2 linked regions of the Tamandua tetradactyla genome follow. The protein of the gene in region 2 purifies or fractionates together with the protein of the main gene of each other region. This does not show direct contact. Links are inferred from orthologs where the notes say so. Each region holds a gene or a part of one and is shown on either strand. Other genes may lie near its edges.

Region 1 (7,260 bases), on a different chromosome or scaffold from region 2:
ATAAGCTTACCTACACTCATTGACATATGAATGAAAAGTTTCAGAGTAAGTATAAGTAACACCTATGACTTCTGATCTCATTCTAACAATTTTTTGAGAGAACAAATTAATTTATAAACATGCTAGAATACCCTTTAAGTTTCCTCGAGTAAAAATGTGGGGTTTGTCACGTCTCTAAGACATGTTTAAAAACTTACCTTTTTTTTTTTTAATCAGATGGCACTTAATTGTTACAGAGAAGTTACACTGCTGATGAAGCACTGGTTCTGCAGAATGATAACTCAGTGGAAACATCAGTTGTTGCCACTCACTGCTGTTCTGAGGGTCGGTACTCCTTTATGGCTCTTCCTGGCACTGCTTTTGGAGAATTACTTAGTTTTAAATACTGACCCATATGGCAGGTCACAAACAGGTAAATTGTGCTACAATGTTCAGCAAATTTTCTATTTTATAGTAGAATAAATACTAAATATAGCCAAATATACAGTCTGATCTGCAATGTGGCAATACCTAGATTTAAATCAACACTGAAGTACAGTCTAATCCTTTCATCAGTAGAAAGGTAATTGAGAGCAACACCTTCACAATGTAAACACTGAAATTCAGTCCAAAAGGTAAATGATAATTCTAAATAGTGGGTTCAAAGGATTGAAAACTTCTTTACACACAGCAGTAGGCATTTAATACATTAAAAAAATTCAAACTTTTTCAACAAAGATGGTAACATGTTTTAGTAACATGTTAACAGAGGGCTGTGGGGGGGAGGGGGAGAGAGAGGGAGGGAGGGAGGGAGAGAGAGAGGGAGAGAGAGAGAGGGAGGGAGGGAGAGGGAGAGAGAGAGAGAGAGAGAGAGAGAGAGAGAGAGAGAGAGAGAGAGAGAGAGAGAGAGAGAGAGGGAGGGAGGGAGAGAGAGAGAGGGAGAGAGAGAGAGGGAGGGAGAGAGAGAGGGAGAGGGAGGGAGAGAGAGGGAGGGAGAGAGAGGGAGAGAGAGAGAGGGAGAGAGAGAGAGGGAGAGAGAGAGAGGGAGAGAGAGAGAGAGAGAGAGAAGACATGGATACACAAACTCTGGTTTCCTTAATTGGAGAGTGGCATTTTGTCTTAGTGGGACTTGATGCAGCCCAATCAGGGGTTTGAAAGTGATAAGGCAGACAAAAATTAAATACATTTCAAAAGACCATATTTTCTTAAGTCTTATGTTATCCTGGAAAAGTAAAGCAGTAACAACGACAATATACTTTGCTAATGGTTAGTACTGTTTTCTTTAGGGTTATCTCAACAAATCATTCATTCTACCATATTAGGGTAAGTACTTTAATACGGTTTGTGTTTTTGTGCTTCAATCCATATCCACACAATCACACAGGTATTCAGGGGACCCACAGAGTGCTGAGCGCTGTTTGGGGTAATTTAAAACTTTGACCTAAGGCAAGATTTTGAGAGATCAAGAGCATTTTCTTTCACACTGTAGTCCAAAGAAACGGAATTCTGCCTATCTACATTCCATTGCAGATTCAATCGGTTAGGATAGTTTTTATTTTCCATGCAAAAACTGTTGACAGTGGATGGCAGCCATTAACCAGGAGTATCACTTGCAACAAAAGCTATTGGGGGATTAAAAAAAGAGATCATTTTTTAAAAATACAAATGGCCATACTTATCTAAATACACAATCACTCGTGTATTAATCCAAGAGTGTATTATCATAAAACGAGAAATAAAATATGGTGTGCTCAATTGTATTTGATATTTATCACCTTACCACTTTCAATATATGTGAGTGCCTTACTTTGTACCTTGCAGAGAGCTCCATATTAGTAATCTAAAGTAAAAAAATAGAGTCCCGGGTGGGCCATGGTGACTCAGTGGCATTGTTCTCACCTGCCACGCTGGAGACCCGGGTTCAATTTCCGGTACCTGCCCATGCAAAAAACAAAAACAAAATAAAACAAAAAAATATATAGTCCTGCCTTTTCTGTTTAGTGGGAGACACCGCAGGTAAAGCAACAATACATCATAGCTTTGATATTGTATTTGATTTCTGATAGACACGGGATGTTAAGGGTGCATTTCTACTCAATAACTTAAGAGAATGGTGACAATTTTAGCTTTTTGAGGGAGGGAATGAGGGGGAAAGTTCAGAGAAACCTAAAGGTAACACGCTGAGTTTTCAACTACAAGTTTATAAAAAATCTGAAAAAGATGACAATGTTAACATTTTAATAATCTCCTGAAATAAGAAGGTGGACCTCATGAGTATGTAAGGTTTCCTGAATGAGAGATCTAACCATAAATGTTTGGTCCCCCAACAACTTAAATTAAACAAATTCATCTATTGAATTTTCTTGGTCATGTTGTTGTTAAATTCCTGAGCTACAGGTAGTAAAAATAATAATAATAAAAATAAAATGCCCAGAGCGAGAATGTTTTGACATGCACTGCCGGGCAAACTACTTCTAGTAAATTGAGTCCAATCAAACCTGACATTGCTTCTGAACTACATTTAGACTCATGAAATGCTGACTCTTTTCTTTAAACGGGAGTTTCAGACGGCTTTTTCTTTTTTTCCCCTATAAGGCATTCTTCACTTATCGTTCCACGTGTTTCAACCATGTCTAGGCCACCCTGTCTTGTAAGACAACCTGGACAATGAAATGGAAAAGGCACAAGGGTTGAATAAGCGCCACCTGTTGAGGTCGGCGAGTTCACTGGGCTGGGTGCTGCTTTCCTCGAGGTAAGGATCGATCGCAACCACTCCTCTCCAAGGAGCGCCTACCCCCGGTCCTTGGGCAGTTAACTGCAAACCTCTGCAACCTCTGCCCCGCAGCTCGCCCCAGCCCGTCGGGGAGCGATGGGACCGCACGGTAGCTACAACGACATGCCACAAAGGGCGACACCCACCGCGGGGAGCCACTGGCCTCCCCGGGCCCCCGAAGCCACGGCCCCAGGCAACTCCGAGGGGCGAAGGCGGCGCGGGCCGGGGGCTGAGCCCAGGTGCGGCGAGGGGGAGGAGGACTCTGCCGCGAGCCGAGGAAGAAAGCCTGACTCATGTCGTGGCGGCAGCGGGCTCCAGGGAGCTGGAACTCGTGATGCTGTTGCTGCGGAGAAAAGCTTCATTACCCATTCCGCAGGCGGGGGACGCCACCCGCGGCACGCACGCACGCCCGGGACCCGGACCACAGCAGCCTCCGCGGGCCGAGCGCATGGTCCTGCCTTCCTCCCGGGTCCTCGAAGCGCCCCCTCCCCGGCTGCGTGCCCGAGCGCGCGCGCTGGCCGCGTGTGAGAAAAGAACAGACACACCTAACCAGCGCGGGCGCGCGCGCGCGCTCAGCTGCGGCCCCCGAGCTCCCCAGCCTTGCCCCACCCCCACACCGCCCGACCCGGATTCGCTCGCTCTGCGGAGATGCTCCCCAACCCCCCACCCCCACGACGACGGCGCCTCCGCCAGCCTTCGGCAATCTCCGCGGAAAGACCGAGCGACCGGCAAGGCCCGAAGACCTGCCGCCTCCTACCCCGCCAGACCAGGCTTTATGTCTACGGCGCCGGGGCGCATGCGCAGACGCCATCTTCCCTCCTTCTCCGCTCTTCGCCCCCTCCCCTTCCCCCGCCACCGCCTCCTTCTCTAGCCGGCGGTCGCCCCTCCTCCTCCTCCTCCTGCGCTCGGGCGCTGGTCCCTCCTCTCCCTATGCCGCGAGAGACCCGGGGAGCCGAAGAGCACTAGTAACAACCCCCTCAGTCCCCCGCCCGACCCCCTCCCTCAGCACCCACCCACTCACCCGCCCCGTTGGCCAACACCGAGCGGCCCCACCTCTCGTTCCTTTGAGCGGCGTCGGCTGCAGTCGCTGCACCAGCCCGTCTGGCCACCGAAGCTGCCGAGAAAGGAGTCGCCGCCGTCGCCCGGGGCTCTCCCGCCCCGGTCCGGCAGTAGCCGGGTGAGGACAAGCCGGCTGCGGAGGAAGAGGACGAGAGCGGCTCGCACCCCTCGGCGCTAGCCTACGGCCCGCCGCCCCCTGGGGAGGCTCGGGCGCCGGCCCCTTCCTCCCCGAGGACGCGTGCCGAGCTGAGGCGCCTGCCCCGAGGGAGGAAAATGCTCGGGCTCCATGGCTGCCAGTGATGGAGCGCTCCTTTGGCTCCGGCTCGCACCGCCGCCGTCGCGCCCCGGCCGCGCTCCGCGAGGACCCGGCGCCTCTGCGCGCCCGCCCGCTCCTCGTTGCCGGGCTCACCGTACCGGGCGCCCCGCCGCCGCCGCCGCCGCTCAGCTCGCAGCCTCGCCGCCTCGGCCCCAGCCGCGGCCAGCGTTTCCCCTCGGAGCAGCCGCCGCGAGCCCAGGGGGTTTGAAAGGGTCCGCGGGGCGTGGGGGGAGGGCGGAGCGGGCGCGACGGGACTGGGAGGGGAGGTTTGAGCGCCCCTGAGCTCGGGGCTCGTCCGCGACGGCGGCGCCGACGAGAGGCGGGCGGGACTCGCTCCGCGCCGTCTTCGTGCAGCGCGGCCGGGAGGGCTTTGCAGCCGCCGCTGGCGCCGCGGCGGGAGGAGCGGGTGGAGGTGGCTTCCGAGTTGGCGACTTGGCCGCGGAAGGTGGGCATCCCTCGGTCTCCTCTCACCCCCAGCCCCGCTCCCCTCCCCCGCTCGCTCGCTCGCTCCCTCCCTCCTGCCCCGCACCCCACGTGAAGGGGAATATAAAGGGGGGGTGGGTGGGGTGTGAGACTAGAGGGGAAAGCGAAGGGCGAAGGACTGAGGGGTCCCCCCTTCGGGTCCCCGGCAGCCTTGTTCACCCTCGTTCGTCCTCCCTTCCCGAAGCTCGCCCCCGGAGGCAGAAGCGACCGGCGCCTGTGCCTTCGGCTGAGGAGGAGGAGGAGGAGGAGGAATCGAGCCAGGCGGAGCGTGGGGTCCGGTTTTCCTCTCCGGCGTCTTGAATACAAAGATTACGGTGCAGACGGAAATTGCACTTGCCTCCTCCGCCCCCCAGTACCCAACACAATGCACCAGCCGCCGGAGGCCGCCGCCGACGTGAGCGCTAGGAAGATGGCGCACCCGGCAATGTTCCCGAGAAGGGGTAGCGGCAGCGGCAGCGCCTCTGCGCTTAGCGCAGCAGGTACCGGCGTCGGGAGTCATGCCACATCTGCCGAGGATCTGCCGCCCCCGTCGCTGCTCCAGCCGCCGCCCCCTGCAGCCTCTTCGTCGGGACCACAGCCTCCGCCCCCACAAAGCCTGAACCTGCTTTCGCAGGCTCAGCTGCAGGCACAGCCTCTTGCGCCAGGCGGAACTCAGATGAAGAAGAAAAGTGGCTTCCAGATAACAAGCGTTACTCCAGCTCAGATCTCCGCCAGCATCAGCTCGAACAACAGTATAGCAGAGGACACAGAGAGCTATGACGACCTGGATGAATCTCACACGGAGGATCTGTCTTCCTCCGAGATCCTTGACGTGTCACTCTCCAGGGCTACTGATTTAGGGGAACCAGAACGCAGCTCTTCGGAGGAGACTCTGAATAACTTCCAGGAAGCCGAGACACCTGGGGCCGTCTCTCCCAACCAGCCCCACCTTCCTCAGACTCATCTGCCTCACCTTCCACCGCAGAATGTTGTGATCAATGGCAGCGCCCACCCCCACCACCTCCATCACCACCACCACGGTCATGGGCACCACCTCCACCACGGGCACCACCATCCCGCACACGCCGGGGTGGCCGGTGCACCCATCCCTGGAGGACCCCCCACCAGCCCAATAGCCAGAAAACTCTCTACAACTGGAAGCTCGGACAGTGTTGTACCAGCTGCACCAACTTGTGCTGTATCATCAAGTGGGTCACCTGCATCTGTAATGACTAATGTCTGCACTTCGAGTACTCCTGGCGGTCTAGGTATACATTCTGTTCCTGGCACTAACACAGTGAATAATGTAAACCTTCCTGCTGTGGGTGGTTTTAATCCTAACGTGGCCAGCAGCATGCTTGGGAATGCTAATGTAAGTACGAGTAATATTCCCAGTGCTGCTAGTGTGAGCGGTGGGCCCGGAGCTGGCATTAATGTGAATATCTTGAGTGGCATGGGCAATGGAACTGTCTCTGCCTCCGTTGTGGGTAATATCCCTAACGTGGCCGCTGGGATGGCTGTGGGACCCATTTCCAGTCAGCAGCCACAACCGATGGTCAACACATCCAGGTTCCGGGTCGTTAAGTTAGATACCAGTTCTGAGCCCTTTAAGAAAGGCAGGTGGACTTGCACTGAGTTCTACGAAAAAGAAAACACTGTACCTGCCACCGAAGGTGTGGTGGTAAATAAAGCAGTGGAGACGGTAAAACAGAACCCAGCAGAGGTGACTTCTGAGAGGGAGAGCACCAGTGGGAGTTCCGTGAGCAGTAGTGTCAGCACACTGAGTCACTACACGGAGAGTGTGGGAAGTGGAGAGATGGGAGCCCCTGCCGTGGTGGTGCAGCAGCCACCACCACCACCAGCTCCTCAAGGTGTGGCCCCTCAACAGATGGATTTCAGTAGCACTGGTCCACAGAGTATCTCAGCAGCAAGTATACCACAGAGTGTTTCTCAGTCACAGATCTCCCAAGTACAATTACAGTCTCAAGAATTGAGCTATCCGCAAAAGCCAGGTCTTCAACCAGTACCTCTGCAAGCCACTATCAGTGCTGCACCTGGTATCCAGCCATCGCCTGTTAACGTTGTTGGTGTAACTTCAGCTTTAGCTCAGCAGCCTTCCATTTCCACTTTGGCTCAACCCCAACTGCCATATTCTCAAATGGCTCCTCCAGTGCAAACTCCCCTTCCAGGGCCACCACCCCAGCAGTTACAGTACGGACAACAGCAACCAGCTGTTCCTACACAGATGGCCCCAGGCCATGGTAAATCAGTGACTCAAAATCCCACTCCAGAGTATGTACAACAGCAGCCTATTCTTCAGGCGGCAGTATCCTCTGGACAGCCCAGTTCTGCAGGGGTGGGAGCAGGAGCAGTGATCCCTGTGGCTCAGCCCCAGGGTGTTCAGCTGTCAGTGCAGCCCCCAGCAGTCCAAGCACAACCTGCAGGGGCATCTGGCCAGCCCATGGGCCAGGCTCCAACAGCAGTGTCTGCTGTACCGACTAGCAGTCAGATGGTAAACATTGGTCAACAAGCAAACATACCTATTGCAGGGCAGCAGCCCTCCACCCCCGTCACACCTTCAGTTATTCAGCAAGGTGCTCCTCCAACTTCACAAGTAGTTCCACCTGCTCAAACTGGGATTATTCTTCAGGGAATTCAAACTAGTACTTCA
Region 2 (7,767 bases):
CAGAATAAGCCAGGAACAAAAACACAAATATTGCATGATCTCTTTTAGAAAATACTTATAAGAAAATTGTGGCCTAGATTGTAAGCTCTTATGGCAGTCACATTTAGTCTGGAGTTGTGTTATTTCTAGATTCTGAGATGCAGTGCTATATGTGTATAACCTGGGATTTTCCAGGAACTTTGGGTACCTGTGTGACACCTAGAGTTCCACAGCTCTGAAGTCAGGACTGCTACGTACAACAACTGTTAAAGAAACCGAAAAAGATATAAGGCTTCAATTAGAGATAAGAGTGAAGCTGAACAGGTAGGGATTAAGGTAAATTCCAGGGCAAAAGATGACATTGTCTGCATTACAGAGTTTCACCTAGGTGTATGATACCAAAGGAAGAGAGGTTCATTTTGTCCAAAACCTAAATTTCTGTAGCACGCAATCTCACTCAACCTGCCTGGATTGTTCATTTGAACAATACAAACACATGGAGTCCATAATGGGAACAAGGACTTGTAATTCTGTATAGCTTAATGTAATACCCAGATACATCCCCGAGTATGTTGGGTAGATAACTTTTTAAAAAGTCCCCTTGAGGGACTGGAGAAAAAATATGGAACTATTAAACTTTCCCACTGGGGAAGCCACTGATACTCTCTCAAACATTAGAGATTCCCAACTTAATAGTCCAAACTCTTGAGTTTGCCCTTATGAACTTATTTCTATAGCTGGGTAGCTAAGCCTACCTATAATTATGCCTACGAGTTACTTCCAGAAAACTTATTGTTGCTTAGATGTGGCCTCTCTCTCTAAGCCCGACTCTGCATGTGAAATCATTGCCCTCCCCCCCATGTGGGACATGACATCCAGGGGTGGAAGTCTCCTGGCAACGTGGGACATGACTCCCAGGGATGAGTTCAGCCCTTTGTGGGATCAACAAAGCCCTTCCTGAAGAAAAGAGGGAAAAGAAACGTAACACAATCAGGAATCAGTGACTAAAAGAGTTCAAGTAGGGTCAAAAGGTTATTCTGGAGTCTACTCTTATACAGGCTTCAGCTAGTTATTGCTAATTACCACGGTTTGCCAAACCCCAACCTATATCATTCTTGTTAACCCTGAAGCACACCTAGGGCTCTACTTGAGATTCCACAAAAGATTTACATACTAAGTTTGGTTTGCAGAAACCTGTAACCTCCAGATGGTTCCTAGGCCAGATAAATCCTGAAACCTAGAGGGGCCAGCCTCTACAAGAACATCCACTAGTTCCATTCCCCTTTCCCATTTGTTGACACCTTTTCAGCATAAGAAGGGGCATAGCCAAATATCCCTAAAGATTGGGAGAAGGATCAAAGGAGAAGGAGTTATAATAGAGAAGATAGGAATTAATAATTATGACTGCTGAATCAGTATATTGACATTTCTTTCAGTCTCCCGTGTCTTGGAGAAGCTAAAAGGAAAAACATGAAATTGTGGAATTGCAACCCATATCAAAATTTAAAATCCCTTCATTCTATAACTACTTGTAACAATGTACTTTAAAATTTAGTGCTTTTTTTTTTTGCTGCATGGTCTGGGAATCTAACCTGGGTCTCCAGCATGAATGGTGAGCATTCTACCACTGAACAACCCATGCACCCTATATGTTTTATTTCACATTAAAAAAAACATTTCACAGGTGAGCAAAGTATATATGGTAACAGGAAGTTCATTGCAGCCTGTTGGGAACTGAATCATGTTCAGGTCTCGACCCCTGGTCCTGTAGATATGAACCTGCTTGTAAATAGGACCTCCGAAGATATTAGCTAAGGTCTGTCCAAATTGAATGAGTGTGGGCCTTAGTCCAATATGGCTGAGGTCCTGACAAGCAAAGGAAACTGGACACAGAAGAAGAAGCCACAGGGAGCAGCTAGAAGCTTCTCCCAAAGAGAAAGGAGAAGATGCTGCCATGTGCTTTGGCATGTGATGGAAAAACCAAGCAACCCCAGAGATTGCCAGCCAGGCAGAAGATACCTTCCAGCCTCTGAAAACATGAAGCAATAAATTTCTATTGTTAAGCCCACTGTTTGTTACTTGTTTTACCAATTAGGACAATAAACATTTTAAAATCTTTATTTATAATAATAAATATTGGAAATAAACTCCAGTGCCCACTGGCAGATATTAATTAAATAAACGTTGGCAATTGTTAAAAATTTAATACTATATATGCTGTCATGGAAAAAAGTAAAAGTAAATTGAGAAAGATTATGCAGTGTAAAATTGGTTTTACTTTAAAATTTTATACTCATAGAAAAAGAAACATGGAGAAATATACATTCAAGTCTTAATTGTTTCTGGGAAGTATGATTATAAAAGATTTTCACTTTCTATGGTAATTGCTAATTCATAGGATTGAGATGAGGCTTAAATGAGTTAATATCAGTTGTAAGGCAATGAAAACAGTGCTTAGCACTTAGAAGCTACTATATACATATTAAGTATTGTTTCTATGTTAAATATTTTGACTTTTTACAGTAAGCACGTTACTGTTCTTATAAATAAAGCAGGAAAAACAATTAATGGGGTGATGAAAATGCAGGCAGTAGGAAGAAAGTATGTGAACATTTTAAACATGAAAGGCAGGTTAAAAAGAGAGCTGGAAGATGCCAAATGATCTCCTGTCATATTGAGAGGGAAGTTAATGCTAAGGTCCCAGAGAGAGGAAAATGGGAAAGTATAATGATGGCATCAAGTGATATTTAATGAATGCTTACCATGGGCCAGGTGTTCACAGCTTTACAGCCCACAAGGAGAAGAGGGTAACCTGGGAAGAAGGCGCACCTTTTCCTTTGAGATTAGAACAAAGAATCTTAACCTCAGCTACCTGAAATTGTGTGCTAAATTTGTAGGGCAAATGCATTTTTTTTTTAATCCAAAAGAGGGCCCATAAGTGTCAACAGGTTTCCTAAAAGGGTGCTCGAGCTTTCTTTCAAAGGTAAAAGAATCAAGTAAAGGATGAAAGGGTGGCTATATACTAAAAATAAATATTTTGAGGTAAAGAGATGAAAAAATGAGACTTCTGCCAGAGACGGTTTTTTTTTTTTCTTCTTCCCAGAAGAGTAGGTTTAGAGATTCCCTTTTAAGGACAGTGACATTTGGCGATTATGACATTCTCAAGTTCTGATGACCGATTCATCTTCCCTCCTCATATGTCTAACGGTAGTGTGCGCTTCCATCCTTCAGGTTCCACCTTTTAGTTTTCGCAGATCAGTGGACTCACCTCGAATCTACCGTCCATTCTTCCCCCCTCCTTCCAGCTAATCTTAAATTTTTTTCCAGTCACCTTTTCAAGGAAGGCTTGATGAATCTGTTTCAGACTCTAGACTTGGCCCCCTATCAACTTAGCTTCGGGTAAATAGTTTAGTGTCTCTGATTCAGTTTTTTGCATTTGTGAACTGGAGATATGAGTAATTTCAATGTCATCTTACGGGTATCGAATGAGCTGTTTGTGAAAAGCTGCAAAGTTTCTGCAAACATCAGTGCTATGCAATCACAAAACGCAATTATTAATTTTCAGTGTACATGCGTTGTGATTTTTTAAAAAAAGCTTTCTCAAGAACTGGTGCTGGGGACTGTCTCCTGCCCAAATAATGAAGATGGGCGAGCGCTCCACTTGGACTGCGGCTACGTCTTTCGCTCCTTTTGTCTTTCGGTCGGGTTGGAAGTGTCATGGCGCCTTCGAGAAGAGAGGCAAGGCCTTCGTCCAGCAGAAGCATCAGGTGCACCTGGACTGAACGGGGGAGTGGACAGAGAGACGCGCCCGGGTTGGCACCGAGGAGGCCGAACCCTGGGTGACGGCCGGACCGGCTCAAGGGGAGAAGACGCGACCAGAGACAACCCTCGGACGCGCAGTCTCCCGCGGCACCGCCCACCCTCGCCGCCTCGGCCAATGGAAACCTAACGGCGCTGCGGCACCGCCCCTCTGTTGGTCAGGACGCCGCGAGGGCGGGGCCCGCAGTTCGGTTGCGCGGCGGAGCGCAGCTGTGAGGGAGTCGCTGTGATCCCGGGCCCCGGAACCCGAGCTGCAGCGCAGGCCGAGGGGCGCCGAGTCCGGAGGTGAGCGCCCTGGAGGGCGAGCGGGTGGGGAGGGGCGCGGGTGGGAGGCCGGCGAGCACACAGCAGGGTCGGCGTCCGAGGCCGGGGACGGCTGGAGCCCGGCAGGCCGGTGCTCGGAGGCGGCTCTGCTTACTGGGGAGCCCGGGCCGGCCTGCCAGGGCCCCACCCACTCCTCCGGGCCCTCGCCGGCTCCCCGACAGCGGCAGCGGCGGCGGGGGCCCAGAATTCTGTCGGCGCGGGCCGGGAGGGCCCCGGCATTCGCTCGGAACTCGGGCTGCCCGATGGGCGGGGCCCGGCGGGAAGAGCGCGGCGGGGGCGCGCGGGCAGCGCGGGGGCAGCGCGGGGGGCGTGGCCTCCGCCTCTCCGGGCGCCGCGGGCGCGGCGGGTGCGGAGCTGGCCGCCGCGCGCTCTCCAGGCCCGGCCAGGCGGGCGCTACTTTCCGGACGGCGGGCAGGCCGACCTGTTGGAGTGTGGAATTGAAGGGGCCTTCTTCCCCCGAGCTTGCCTCATTTCCGACTGGACCGACCTGCGGGTCTGAGGGGCCCTCCTTGGGCCGTTCAACGTGAGGACCGCCGGGAGGCCTGCAGCCTGCGAGTCGTTTCTGGGGGGTGACGTGCTGAGGGGCTGCGGTCCAACCAGGGAAAGTCTGCGAGAAAAACTTTTCCCAGAAGTACACTTGCTCTGCCGCCCGGGGTGGCTGGAGGTGGCCGGGAGGATCCCTTTAGGAACGTAAATTGAGCGAGTTATTAGCCAACTTCTGGCCCAGCATCACGTGAGCTTTTCCATATGCGACCGCTTTTAAATCTCTCAGCGACCATGAGGCAGAATTTCTGGTGTTGCAAAGGTTTCTTTGCCAGTAGGTGAAGTTCTCGGCACTGCCCTCATTTTACCAGCTAAGCGAAGTTTGGGGAGGGAGGAGCAAGCTCATTCCAAGGGCGTCTCTATGACTGATGAAGGCTTGCTTCTCTTGTGCCCTACTGTGAATTAGTTGTCTGTGGCCTGTGTCCAGAAGTTTCTTCAGAGCCCATTGGATACAGGCTTTCTATATTTGAATTTCATTTATATTTCTTATTGTAGTCCTACTGGAAATTTTACTTAGCTCTTCCAGATTCTATAGATGCATTCAGTGAACGTAGCTGCTCTAGGAAGTAACCCATATGAACTTTCTTCTCCATTGTCTTGGCTACTTTTCAGGGGAAGAAGGAAAATGATCTCTAGCTTACAGTTTCTTGTAGAGTATACTAAGGCAAGCAGTTAATAGCTTTCCTGGCTGACTGAAATCTCTCTAGAATAGGCAAGGACCTAGAAAATAACATGATGAAAGACTGTATCTTGTCAGAGTTTCTCCGTAGTGCTTGTTGTGTCCTGGTATTTACTGGTGTTATCTAATCAAAATCTGACTTGTGTTGAAAATAATGTGAGTTGAGGGCAGGAGTGGGCAGAAATGGGCAAGAGTTCTAAAGAGAAATATGGGCTTTTCGAAAGATTGGTGTTCATGTGGAGGCTTCTGGCAGACTAAATGGACCAAGAGAGGCAATAGAATATTACTTTCATACTGGAGCACCTAGCACACACAGGTTCTGACTTCTTCACAGCCTTTGTTCTTAAGAGTATGAAATACATTCAGTGGTGGTTTTGTGACTTTCTGGACAATTTGGTGATACTTAGCAACTTCTTCCAAGTAACTGTGTCCCTGAAAAAAAATGTTATACTGTATAGTAATTTTTCTTACAAAGGCTATCTCGAGTTATTTGTACTTGAAAGAGAAGTACCTATGTCAGAGATATTCCATTCCAGAGATTGGAAACGTGAGAGCCTTTGAGCTGTGTGAATCAAATGAAAGCTAGAAGCTTAAAGTCTTAGATCTGCCTTGAATTTGTGGCTCCATGAGACTGAAGATCTTGTTTAATATGTTCACTGTTGTATCTTGAGCACCTATCCTAGTGTTTGGCCCAAAGTAAGTGCTTAATAAACATTTGTTGAATGAATGAATGAAAAAAAAATGTTGCTGACCAATACTCATCTGCCACATTCACATCACAGGTATGGTGACATCATCAGAGATGAGGTCACTAACCATTGCCAGTCACCTGGCCCAAGGGTAGCCTCATCATGGATTGGCAGCCTTGTTGTATGTGTAGGAGGGATGGATAATGAATGTCAAGGTTGTTAGTTCTAGCTGGATAAATTGGCTAGGGGTACTACAAGTCTAGCCTAAGGGTTGGTTGAGTGGAACATTTTGCAGTCTGGAGTGAACTGTTCCAAACATGCCCATATAGCTTAGTTCTTGAGCACAGGGCAAATAGAGGCAGAAGAGAACTGAAAGGAAAGGCTGTTGAATGAGTATTTGCTGAGAAGGGTAGGGTCCTCTATTTTATTGTTCACTTGGACCTTACTAAAAACACTTAAATCTTGTGTTCGCCACTCATGCATGAGTTGTGTTCAACCATGGTAACTCCCCTTCTCTAGTTTAAAGTCAGGAGTGTAATGTTTCAACATTCAGACAGGACTAATTCTGATTTTGGGTTTAAAGGAAACAAGGTATGTGTTTTTCCTTTGAGGCCCTGGTTAAGTTACTAGGATTAAGTCTTTAGATTTATCCTGACCCTTTCTGCCTTCTTCCTCCATGTTTGCTCCAACCAACGCAGGCCTGAGCGTTGGTTCCAGCATGTCGGAGGGGGAGTCCCAGACAGTACTCAGCAGTGGCTCAGACCCAAAGGTAGAATCCTCATCCTCAGCTCCTGGACTGACGTCAGTGTCACCTCCTGTGACCTCTACAACCTCGGCTGCTTCCCCAGAGGAGGAAGAAGAGAGTGAAGATGAGTCTGAGATCTTGGAAGAGTCACCTTGTGGGCGCTGGCAGAAGAGGCGAGAAGAGGTAAGGTGGTGGTATTGTCACTCTTGAGAAATGAATACTAAGAGAGGAGAACTGGGGCAGGGAGTGAGGGAGCCCAAAAGGCACATGGGCAAAATTTTCAAGTGGGCAGAGTGAACGTCAACAGGTTGGGGGCTGGCAGAAGATAATTGTATTGAATCAGAGAGTTTGTAAGTTAATTTTAATTCCCTTTCATTTGAATTTATTCTCAGGTGAATCAGCGGAACGTACCAGGTATTGACAGTGCATACCTGGCCATGGATACAGAGGAGGGTGTAGAGGTTGTGTGGAATGAGGTACAGTTCTCTGAACGCAAGAACTACAAGCTACAGGAGGTAAGTAATGGTGAAAGGATGGGCCCTGGGGCGATTAGAACACAGCTTTCGTTAAAGTGGAATTGATAATGGAAAGCTGACTGAGGAGAGTGTGTTGGGGTTAGATAATTACTGGGGAGGGATAGAGAATGGGATGTAATGGGTTTTTCAGGATTATTACATTGATTTCTGAACCCTGTTTATCGGATTGTCTCCCTCACTCCCAGGAAAAAGTCCGTGCTGTATTTGATAATCTGATTCAGTTGGAACATCTCAACATTGTTAAGTTTCACAAGTATTGGGCTGACATTAAAGAGAATAAGGCCAGGGTAAGAACTCTTTCCTGGTATTTCCTGAGTTTAGTGCAATAAGAATGGCTACATTTATTGTTTCTTTTACATTTAGAGATTAAAACAAGGTAGTTTTGAAACAGAACCAAAGTTAGCTGCTGTGGGGATGAGAGTAGGGCTTTGGCTACTACCTGTGCCTTTTGTT

The links.
Region 1: the proteins of NRBP1 (region 2) and TSC22D1 purify together in Homo sapiens (affinity purification with mass spectrometry; 6 studies listed by BioGRID and IntAct, with this or other methods). This does not show direct contact. The link is inferred for Tamandua tetradactyla from reciprocal best matches to the Homo sapiens genes NRBP1 and TSC22D1.

Annotation. Positions count from the first base shown.
Region 1 is NC_135330.1:114,316,303-114,323,562, forward strand, and holds the start of TSC22D1 (TSC22 domain family protein 1), read left to right. Parts: upstream 1-4,259; 5' UTR 4,260-4,339; intron 4,340-4,593; exon of another isoform or gene 4,594-4,794; 5' UTR 4,795-4,974; coding exon 4,975-7,260. UniProt on the Homo sapiens protein: Transcriptional repressor. Acts on the C-type natriuretic peptide (CNP) promoter. Acts to promote CASP3-mediated apoptosis.
Region 2 is NC_135329.1:11,351,394-11,359,160, forward strand, and holds the start of NRBP1 (nuclear receptor-binding protein), read left to right. Parts: upstream 1-4,691; 5' UTR 4,692-4,869; coding exon 4,870-4,939; intron 4,940-6,731; coding exon 6,732-6,961; intron 6,962-7,170; coding exon 7,171-7,293; intron 7,294-7,499; coding exon 7,500-7,601; intron 7,602-7,767. UniProt on the Homo sapiens protein: Required for embryonic development. Plays a role in intestinal epithelial cell fate and proliferation, thereby involved in the architectural development of the intestine potentially via the regulation of Wnt-responsive genes.